2 linked regions of the Caenorhabditis elegans genome follow. The protein of the gene in region 2 interacts with the protein of the main gene of each other region in a pairwise test. Each region holds a gene or a part of one and is shown on either strand. Other genes may lie near its edges.

Region 1 (7,550 bases), on a different chromosome or scaffold from region 2:
AAGCGTAAAAGGAGAAGACTGTAATAAGTAAACGGATGAAAAAAAAAGACTAGCATACTGAAAATGTGTTGAGGAAAATGAATATTACAGTACATATTTACAACATTAATTGATCAAATCCCGAAAGTCAAGGAAAAAAAAGTAGAAAGAAAATAAGAGAAAACGATAAAAGTAATACCCATTTTTCGGCGATAAAACACCCAAAGTGAAACGGTGAGAAATAAGGTCACAACTCTTTTGGAAAATTTGAAAAATCTATAGATTATCGTCCAATATTGACTGGAGCTTTGAGAATATCAAATTTGTTGGCCGATTCGAGAAGATATTGAACAATTTGGGATTGCATAATCATTGAGAAGGCGAGATGAGAATTCGATTGGACAGGAGTTGCTTGAGTTTCTTCCTGGAAATTATAAGTATTTTAAACAAGGAATATCAGTTGGTTTTTGAGTTTTGACTCAATTTTCAATAACTTAAATTACAAATAATTTGGTGAATATAGAAAATGAACGGTAATGACCAATTATAACTGTAAAAAATTTCAAAATTTGTTTAATGATATGTTATATCAATTTTTTAAAGATTTTTCACTCCATTCTCAATAAATGAAGTTTTACAAACCTTTTTCGAAGGTTTCGCCTTCTTTCCAGCTTTCTTATTTTTGGTTGCCAAATTCACGGCTCCATCACCATTATGGAATAGTGTTGGACCAAAAACAATAGCAAGATTATGTTGTTGCATTCGATTTTGTGATGAATGCGAGGCTACACGATTCAAATGACGAAGTAACATTTTCAATGTTTCACGATTCTCGTTTGGAAGTCGACTTAGAAGTTCTTCGAATTTTTTGAAACGAGTGGTCGCGTTGGGCATTTCTGGAATAGAAAATTGGTTTAGGACATTTTAAAACTTCAAAAAAAAAACTTACGCATAGCTGATGTGTATTCCTTATGAAGAGAAATTGGGAAAAGTGGATCGGTTAGCTCTCGGAAAAAGAGTTTAAGAGCACCAGTAAGAACATGAATATCTTCTTCAGACACAAGAGCTTTATAATTGTCTTGATCAGCTTGACATCGAATTTTTTGGACTGCGGACAGGTTTCCACTCACTCTGAAATAAGAAATTTCAAGTTTCAATGCTATTTTTATTTGGTAGTCATCCTTTAAAAAACTGAAAATACAGTTAGAGAATACTCTCGTAACAGTTCAAATTTTTTAAAGATATTCCAAAACTATAATTTTTAAAGTGTGCCTTTAAAAAATACAGTAATTTTGATGTTGATTTTTCATAATTTTTTTGAATACAAATAAATAAATTTTAATCGAAAAACCGCAGCAACTGTGAGTTGGAAATTACAGTACTTTTTAAAGGCACACAATCATTTAAATTTTAAAAAATCGTGTCGAGACCGGGAAAAGTTTTTTCAACGCAAACAGTTCGCATCTGGGTAATGTTTTTCGGAAAAAATTATTAGGTCTACCCCTTTTGATAGTAAATAAATTTTTAGATGTGTTTTGTTATGGCATTTGGTCATTTTTTCACAAAATGGCGACACTTCATGTAATTTTTTTCCAATTTCATAAACTAACCGATAAATTCCATCTGTCTCCAATCCTTTACTCTCAATAACTTCAGTGATAACTCTAATAAACTTCGGTACCAACGAGTTTTCATGTTGACAGATTGCAGAAAGAGTTGATCCGAATACTGGTTCAGCTGAAATGATTCTTATTTCAATATCAATTTACTATATATAAAGCGCGTGTCGTTCCGTCACTATGTAGTTTGATTTTTGACAGAGCAACGGAAATTTGGGAAACCTTATGATAATTGTATTTTCTCAAAAAAAAAAGTCGGGGGCCGCGCCGTAGGTGCGGTCCACGGCTGGTTTGCATATATTTCCAATCTTACGTTTATATATTCCCTTCTCTTTAAGACTTTCCACTGTAGGGCGTGTTCGGAAGAATCTTCTCAACTTCTCAATGATCGTCTCTTTTGATGGTCTTGGTTCATCAGTTGATACACTTGTCGATACCGTTTCAATTGCAGATTGTGACATTGGATCATCACGTCGTCGCATACTTCGGCTTCTTAAAAAACAAAACATTTTCAATAAGACATGGTTCTCTCAGAATTTTGAATTCAATTTTTTTTTTTTTGAAAAAAAAACTCACATTGGAATTAATGCATGGGAAAGTGGACGCGTGCTGCCAATGTATGACGGATTACGAGCAACGCCATTTGTTACATCAATCATCGGTTGGTTTGAAGAGCCAGGAGACGGCTGAAACGATATACATAGTCTTGAAATCTATAATCGGATGCAAAAAACAGTATACGGTCTCGACGCGATCGAATAGGTTTAAATGAAAAAAGTTGTGCGCCTTTAAGAAGTACAATAGTCCATTTTTCTCGTTTTTCTCAAAAAACCTTTTATTGTGTGAAATTGTATGCACAATTAAAAAAAAAAAGATAAGTCGAAGAAAATTGAAAAACAGCAAGATTTATTTAATTTTCCTAGATAGATTTTTTATAATTTCAATATTTTTTGATTAGTGTCACAAAAAAAAAAGGAAAAAAAGGTTTTAGACGAAAAGGCAGGAAAATGGTAAAATAGCGGGACTACTGTAATTATCAAAGGCGCACACACTGTTTCATTTCAGCATTTTCGGTCGTGTTGAGACCGGGTTAGATATTTTTCAAGCGAAAATCCAGCTTAATAGGATTTTCAGAATTTTCTCCCATGAATCACCTCACTATTTGACCGTTGCAGGCTCAACATTCGGACTCTGGAGCAAGCAGTATGCCACATGGTACTTTTTTGAGAATACACAACAAGTAAAAACTTTGCAATAATAGACGGAGAAAAACTTCGGCCGTGAATTCTTATTTCTACAGTCTTGAGAAAGTTGGAAACAACTTGGCAAAGTAGCTTATAGCCGAATAATCTCTTAATTGTACCTGCCAAGGGCGGGAGAAAAAGAAAAATGAAACAAAAACACTTGATTTTTTTTGTCTATTTTCTGGATAATTTTCAAATAAAGAAATCTTACAAGCTTTGCGACAACTTCTTCCAGTGACTTGTACCATTCGACGGCTTCCGTGTCATTGGGACCTCGTAACAGGTATTTCTTCGTGTTACACAGCTCTAATTGAATATATTTCCGTTGTTTCTTCTTTTGTACATCCCGATTGTCTTGATACCATGTCACACTTGCTCCTCGTAAATCCCATACTCCTTGTGGAGCATCATAATGTTTTCCGTGTTTCTGAAAGTTGACAACTATTTGGTATTGGTTGATCTACTGACAAGGAAAGGAAATAAATATATACAAAATATGGCACTTCAATTTGAAACATTATGTTTAGGCTGAGCTGATATATATGTATATAAATATTTAAGCTGCAAAAACTCCACTCGAACCATCTGAACTTTATCAACAAACTTTTCAACTACTTTTATGATCAGTCGAGTTGTTCCAAAAGTGGATTTTTGCAAACTTCGGATCATTTTTAAGCTGTTTAGAGATAAGCAAACATTTCGGAAGCTTTTTGAAATTTTTAGTTTCTGAAGAAGAGTGCAATTTTTTGACCGAGGTGGATGAAACATTTTCAGATCATTTTCAGAAAAACTTCCAAAAAGCAGACAATAATACATCATCTCTGCACATTTTGTTAAAATTTCTTAAATCTTTTTTTCTGCGTTAATTATCAACAACATAAAAAAAACTACCTCTGCACTTTTTTGGTCTTTATACAAAATGAGATGAGCCGTTGTTAAATACATGTAGTTCGTGATCCATTCACGTTTTTTTGGCTTTACAACTTTCTCTGCTGGTTCATCATTTTCACTTCTTTCCAAATCACCGCATCGAATCGTTCGAACAGGTTCACGTCCATCACCACTACCTCGACGTTCTTCACATCGTGATGATGGTGTAAAATCGGCAGAATCTTCCATAAGGATCGGCCGATCCGGCGTATTAGAGTGATATTGCGGATGGTGATCGAAACTTGATGAGGTTGTCGGCAGCACTTGTGGCATTGGAACATTTTTTAGAACTGTACATTTGTTCTGAAATGAGACCGATCTTAGGTTCGTCGGAGATGGACGACGGACACGGATTGCGGTGGGAGTTTTTGATGTTTCATTGGCATCTGGGGGAATCACATACGAAGCCAATTTGTCAGTGTCTTCATTTTTGGCCCTAAAAATGTAACTTTAGTGATAGGATATAACATTATTGAATTTAGGGGTAGCGTCGATGGGAATTTCACTCAAAAATACTCAGGTTGATCTCAAATGCCGATAACTTTTTTTGCATCTGTAGTTCTCAATACTGCCGCAAGTTCTTCATTTTCCTTGAATTTTCAAGTGAAAAGGAAGGTTTTATGCCTATAATGGCAGTTACGTTTCGCCTAAAATATTATTTTTGTCTGAACCAGTCGAGAAAATCGAAGTGAAAAACGGAAAAATTAGCGGAGTTTCGAGGCGCGGTAATTCAAATGAGGCACAACTGAAAATTCACTAAAGTTAGCCATGTTTCAAACTTAATGATTTTTTTTTCGTTTTGCTCCACTATTACAAATTTTGTAAAACCAACCTTGGAAACGTTGATTGAAACGAAGAAACATGTGCATAGGGATGTGGCATCATTACTCCGGATGCTGTAGAAGCTTTTCTTGATGATGTTGGAACAGGTTCTTCGTCAAAATCGGAATCTGAAGCTATGGATCCTTCTATAGGTTTCACATCATCTTCATCTTCATCATCCGTAAAACTGTCAGAGAATGGAATTGGAAGAGGCCGTGATTGAAGATCAATTACAGGTGATGATTGTTCATCCACGTCATCGCAAACTTCATCAAACACTTCTTCATCTTCTATCAATTGACTTTTTCTGTCGTCATCAGCTAAAGATTCACGCATTTTGTTCTCTTTTTGTTCTTCTGATGAAGATGTCGAGGATCCTTGAAAACTGCATGTAGTATCTAGATTCGTTCTTGTTGCACGAAGAAATTCCTGAAAATTGAAAACTGAATGAAATTATAACATCTTACCAGATTTTAATTTTTTAAAAGTAAAAAATAATACCTGAACTTGTGCGGGTGTTCTGATAAACCTCGGTGGAATCCATTGACTTTTTCCAGTTTCTTTATTGAAGAAAAATGTCCGTCCGACGTCGGTCTCGTATTCAAACCAACCATTTAGAAGATCTCTACGGGGCTGCGCGTCGGCTCGCGGAGTCGGTGGAACCGGTCGGCTGAAGCTTTTAAAAATGTTTTATGATGATTTTAGAATCAAAAATGAAAATTAAATAATCATCAGTGATTAAAAAAATGCTCCAGGTGTTGTTCCAACATTTTTTCATAAATATTAGTGAGAAAATATGGAAAAATAATAGATATAATTGAAAATAAGAATTCAATTTGACGAAAGAATTTGAAAAAGTGCTTAAACATAGTCTGAAATTGTCATTTACCAATTATCGAACTTAATTTTTCAGAGATTGGCAAGTTTCAAACCATTTTTGACCTCTTTTTCAAATGCTTCACCCACGATTTGCACACTAATTCCAATTTTTCAAAACATTATAACTAAACCTGAATCATTTCAGATATTTCCCGTACCTGTTTAATTCTTCGATTTCTCTGATATTTGTATACACATGTGATGGATCGTCAGCGTAATTCTGTCCATTACTTTCACGTGGCAATGTGTTCGCGGCGCTAACATTCGTTTGACTAGATGACGAAGAGGATTCGGCCGATTCGGACATCTGTAATGAATAAAATTATTTTTCTCGCGTTCGATGAGAGAGAAAAACTAACAATTTCTTGGAACTGAATAAGATCCGAAGCTCTTGATCCAGCGGGTCCTCCGCCGAATCCAGTTGTATCTGACGGCTGAACAGCGGTGGTCATCATCCGACGAACAAAATCGATAATAAATCACTTTTAACACCACCGGAGAGGCATTGAAGAGAATGATAACGAACTGCAAAAAGGACGAATTGCTAAAATATTCGGAGAGGGAGAGCATGGTAAGGAGAGGAAAAGAAGAGAAAGATCATGTGACCATTGACTTTGTTTTTACAGTGTTTATAGAACAAAACCGAAATATTTAATAAAGCAGATTGATCCGGAAATGGGAAAACAAAAATTATAATTAGGTTGTTAAGATAATTAAATAATGTTCGAAAAGAGAAGAAGACAACAATTAAGTATTCTAAATATCTAAGAAACTTGATACATTTCTTTCCACTTGAATCGATTCTCTCGAATTTCCGTGACTTTCTGAACATTTCGTAACTTTATACCCATAAGAATATCTTACGAAATATTTTTAAAATGAAACATATTTTAATCAACCAACGGAATTGATAAGCAAAATTTCCGATTTTTTGTTTCATTTCAGCTGTCCAATTTCAAAATTAGCTGAAATTATTTATAAATCAGTTTTAATTTAAAATTTTGTACAATTCCAACAGAAAAGCACCAAAAAAACCATCACAAGGAGGCACACACGGGATGACTCATCCGGCCGTCGTATTTCCCTTGTCCCGACTGGAGAAAAGAGAACACAGAATGGAAGAGTAAGATACGCAGACAGTGATACAGAAAAAACTCGCCGTGTGTTCTCTCACTCATTCGGGAGGTTAGAGACAGTGTCTTGGGGCTAAATATTGGAGATACAGACACACGAACAGACGACAATCGATTTAAAGAAATACAGTCATTGTACAAACCTGATAGTGCCGTGACTAGAGGTATTTACTGGTTTAGCTAGTGAAAAGGCTCTTTTTAGACTTCAAAAATTTGTTTTAATAAATAGTTTCATTATTTCAACATATTTTACTAAATAATGTGCCAAATTGAAAAACTATTCACTAGACAGCATAGAAATATAATATTCTCTTAAAAATCAATATTGGAGAACATTTTTGGATAAGAATTCTTTTACCCTTAAGGGTCAATCTTATATAGCGCGTCGTTATCCAGAGCACTTTTTGTCTCTATGTTTTACACCGTTCGTTGATGTTATCTCATCTTCAAAACGAATTTCCTGCAGTTTCTTAGTCTCTATAGTGCCACGTTTTGCGTGCGCGTAGAATAATAAATTCATGTTTTATGGGTCTGTCTGTGTGCACAAGCCGACCGCCCCAGTTTTCCCCCATATTCGAACATCGTTTGATGCCAATCTTGACATGGCAGAGAAATAGGAAACTGAATGCATTGGGGAAGAGAAAAAGAGAAACTGCATTTCGCTTTCAATTATTTGAGTGGCCCGTCGGAAGAGCTCTCACAGCTACTCTACAATTTTGCATCTAAAGGGGTCACGCTATTTAAGCTAACAAATATTTTTTCATGTTTCAGAACACATTTTTCTTAATTATGCGAAACAAGAATAGAATGCACCGGAAAAAAAATTTATAGTAAAATTCGTGAATGACTCGCATCCAAAATATAAAAAAAACAATGTTACTATTAAAACTAATTAAAAAATAATTTTACAAAAACACATAAACAGGATATTTTAAAGCACGTAA
Region 2 (3,655 bases):
ATTTTTTATTCGTGGAAAGTTCACATTACTGTTCAAAAATTAAAACATTTATATTATGGACAACTCGAAAACTTATACAAATTACCAATACCTTATAGCATGATCAAAGTTCATACTTCTATTGCATCCTCTATAGGAAAACGTAGGAGATTTTGTGTTTTGCACAACAAATACCAAAAATTGAATATAACAACTGAATCCTTGCTACGCCCTTATAAAAACTGATGAAGCTCATTGACATTGGGAGGGTTTCAGACCTGGGAGCTCCAAAATGAATCCCTCGTTTCAAAACTGCAACAAAATATTTAAATGTCCATCTGCGTGAGCGGTTCGTAAGTTATGGGCCAACTATTTAACTGCTGACCCGCTCAGAAAAGGTTTTAACAGAAGGAAATAAAAGCATCGGCAAAGGCAGTTTGTAATTCTCCACACTTTCCTTTGATTTTATTTCGACTAAAGCTTTTAAGCTTTTAAAATTTAAAAGTAAATGTTGTTATCCACACATGAATATACATATATGTAAACATCATTGGTACACTGTGAAGTTTAAAACATTTATTTCGTTAGAATCAATCAATAGCTGCATAAATGGTTAGTTATCCTTTTTTAGACTTCGGTCCTCTGCTGCTCACGAGTATACTTCTGGTTGACTTGTTTTTGGCGGCTGCACGAGCTTGAATTTTTACTTCTCTCATGGCTGGCTTCAGGATCTCGAAGGAAATGATGAGCCGTTCGTCGACAATCATAATTCCTGCATTGTTGTCGAATTCTCCACAGTATTTGGGTGCAGAGAAGATTGTCACGAGGCGTTTGTCGGCGAAAAATTCGTATCCATCTTGAACAACCTGAAATTGAAAATTGTTTATCAAAAGTTATTAAGTGATATCATACCTGATGGCCTCTAGCAATGAGATCGATATTCATCTTCTCCGTGAAGTCCTTTACAACGTTGGCTCCAAAAATATAGGAAACTCCGCGTGAGTTCTTTCCCCATCCGGTATGGTTGTTCTCTGGATCTGCCCAAAGGAGATCCATTGCAAGGCACGCGTTTGGTGGATCGAATGGGCGTATGATTTTGGCAAGCTGTGTCCATGAAACCAATTCCGGGCTCAATCCACCATGCATGCAGAAGATTCGTCCGGAGATCATTGCGCACAATGGGAGACTGTTGAACAAATTCTGAAATACTGAGGTTTGACAGAATACCGCAACGCACTAAAACTTACTTGGAACTCATTGTATAGAGCCAAAGAATATCTTCGTTTACACTCATCGTAAAATCCATACGTACGGTTGATTGAAGCACACTCGTGGTTTCCTCGGAGTATAAAGAACCCATTTGGATACCTGACTTTGTATGCCATGAGGAGACAAATGACTTCAAGTTGTTGACGTCCTCGATCCACGTAGTCGCCCAGGAACAGGTAGTTTTGATCCGGCGGGAATGAGCATCTGTTGAAGATTCGAAGAAGATCAGTATACTGCCCATGAATGTCTCCACAGACCTGAAAGTACACGTATTCTGGCAGGAACTTCAAGAATAACTCTCTATTTTACTAAAAAGTCAAAAGTCAACGTACCGCAATCGGCGCCTGAACCTCAACCATTGTCGCTTGCGCTGAGAGGATATCCTTACATTCCTCGATGACGCCATCAATATCTGCCTCTTTGATGCAATGTGTTAGAGAGGCGTTAGAAGTGTCGTTGACTGAAAATTATAACGTTACAGTATGAAACTTTAAATCTGCTAAATTAATTTACCTGATAAAACCTTATCGATAAAGTTGGGAATGTTGACCATTTCGAGCGTAGGTTAGTGTTGTTAGCAGTGAGTAGAAGATGCGAGATGCCGCGATGGTTAGTTAAAGTGGGAATAAATTATTTTCAATCGAAGTCCTTGTTTTGAAGAGTTGGAAGATCTTATCAAAGATAACAACTCGATGGGAGGAGGGGTCACACTAGACTATATGCAAAAGTTTTGATTTTTTGATTTATTTTTAAAAATCTTCTGACAACTTAACAGAATATTTTGTTTGCTTCACGTTTTAGAATGTGGGGGATTTTTACGATACCCAGAACTTTCTGAAATTCAGGTACCACCAAATACCACAAAAGAAAAACGAAAAAAATTAAGAACACTAAAAATCCGACTAAAATAAACGTGATTTTTTTTTTCAATTTTGGCTACTTTTTAGATCAAAATCCCCATTCGCACTACTCCATTTTTAAATAGTTGGCATCAAATCTAGACTTTGAAATTAAAAAGCATTCCTTAATTCTCCCAAACAGTCTTGCAGCTGCCCTTTATCCTGCCTTATTGTCCAATAATTGTTATGTAAATCCAACAAGACCACTTCTGCATCCCTTTTCGGCTCTCATTTTCCTGTACCGACACCCAATTTTGAAGTGGGTCCGGATGTGCACAATGATGATTAGCACACGAACATGAATGTCAAGTGCTGCTGGCTCATTCCGTTAGCCATCGTCGCTGCTTGTCGCGCCGAAGATAGATCAGATTGAAATCTGATATCTTCTATGTGTTTTCTGTGTTGATGTGTTGTCGGTGTCCTGTCAGATCACACTCTGGTACTTCACACTTTTGAGGGGACACGGGACAGCTCATTCATGTGTACATTAGACAAAGGTTAAGAGGAATTGCGCAATAATTTACATGTGGAAAGTACAAAGAATTGAGTTTTTTATTTTACTTGTTTTTTTTTCTGATAAATTGTTTCTGTGTGTCTGGCATCCTTTGCTCTTTTTAGACAACTCACATTCCTTTGGATTTATCAAATTTATAAAGATTTTCACATTATATGTTTAAAACTAAATTTGGTTATAGAAATAGAGCTCACTTGATCGTCTTTCATGAGCCATATCAACTTACGTGCATGATTCTAATAAATCAAATCAACAGCGGAAAGATTTAGACAACTTATATCCCGGTTATTTTTCCAGAGATCAGAAAAAAAACAAAACCATAAGGAAAAAGTACAAATTTTTCCAGTTGATAATGTTTTATAAAACTGGTCCAGTCCTAAACGATTAGATGCAAATGAGATAGTGAAAATACGGTATCACATTCACAGTTCACATTTTTGGATATTATCGAATACAGCTCGACAACATGGACTCAGATGCACCTATCATAACTCTGACCTCACTCATCCTTCTTAACCAGTTAATCTGCATTATATTGTCCGTACAACACTTCATTACACAACTCCTCCGCCCCTTTTAATGATGCCGCCATATATTCAACACAATGTGGGGTACTGTAGAAAAGTAGGCGGGGTCTTTGAAGAGGATAAGCTAAGCTAAAGGTTAGATACGGTTCACTCACGGTTTACCACGACACAAATTTTTATGGCTGCTCAACAACCACTATCTCAAGAGCAGCTTTTGCATTTTTGGGGTAAGTTTGAATTTTATAAGTTATTATATAAAAAAATCTTAATGGAATAATTGTTTTTAGGAGCTCACAACACCATGGGCAAAATGACAAGACGAACTTCGCAGTCTGATGGCGGAAAACCATCAGGCAACAGTAATGCCGCGGGCGGTGCTGGAACAAAACCGAAGGTGAGATTTTATTATGATAAACAGTTGTTTTTGATTTAAATAAAAATTGTAGGTTGCTACTCCACAAGTCGTT

Evidence for each region.
Region 1: the proteins of ZK938.1 (region 2) and tag-325 interact in a two-hybrid assay, tested with the Caenorhabditis elegans proteins (one large-scale study listed by BioGRID).

Annotation. Positions count from the first base shown.
Region 1 is NC_003281.10:4,795,289-4,802,838, reverse strand, and holds the start of tag-325 (WW domain-containing protein tag-325), read right to left. Parts: upstream 6,001-7,550; 5' UTR 5,929-6,000; coding exon 5,833-5,928; intron 5,781-5,832; coding exon 5,632-5,780; intron 5,271-5,631; coding exon 5,096-5,270; intron 5,024-5,095; coding exon 4,605-5,023; intron 4,209-4,604; coding exon 3,734-4,208; intron 3,270-3,733; coding exon 3,054-3,269; intron 2,285-3,053; coding exon 2,175-2,284; intron 2,091-2,174; coding exon 1,912-2,090; intron 1,717-1,911; coding exon 1,590-1,716; intron 1,111-1,589; coding exon 929-1,110; intron 876-928; coding exon 622-875; intron 404-621; coding exon 263-403; 3' UTR 1-262.
Region 2 is NC_003280.10:9,827,638-9,831,292, reverse strand, and holds ZK938.1 (Serine/threonine-protein phosphatase), read right to left. Parts: upstream 1,886-3,655; 5' UTR 1,802-1,885; coding exon 1,762-1,801; intron 1,709-1,761; coding exon 1,581-1,708; intron 1,506-1,580; coding exon 1,227-1,505; intron 1,180-1,226; coding exon 892-1,179; intron 846-891; coding exon 597-845; 3' UTR 539-596; downstream 1-538. Other genes in the region: eyg-1 (Homeobox domain-containing protein), read left to right, coding at 3,367-3,415, 3,476-3,582, 3,635-3,655.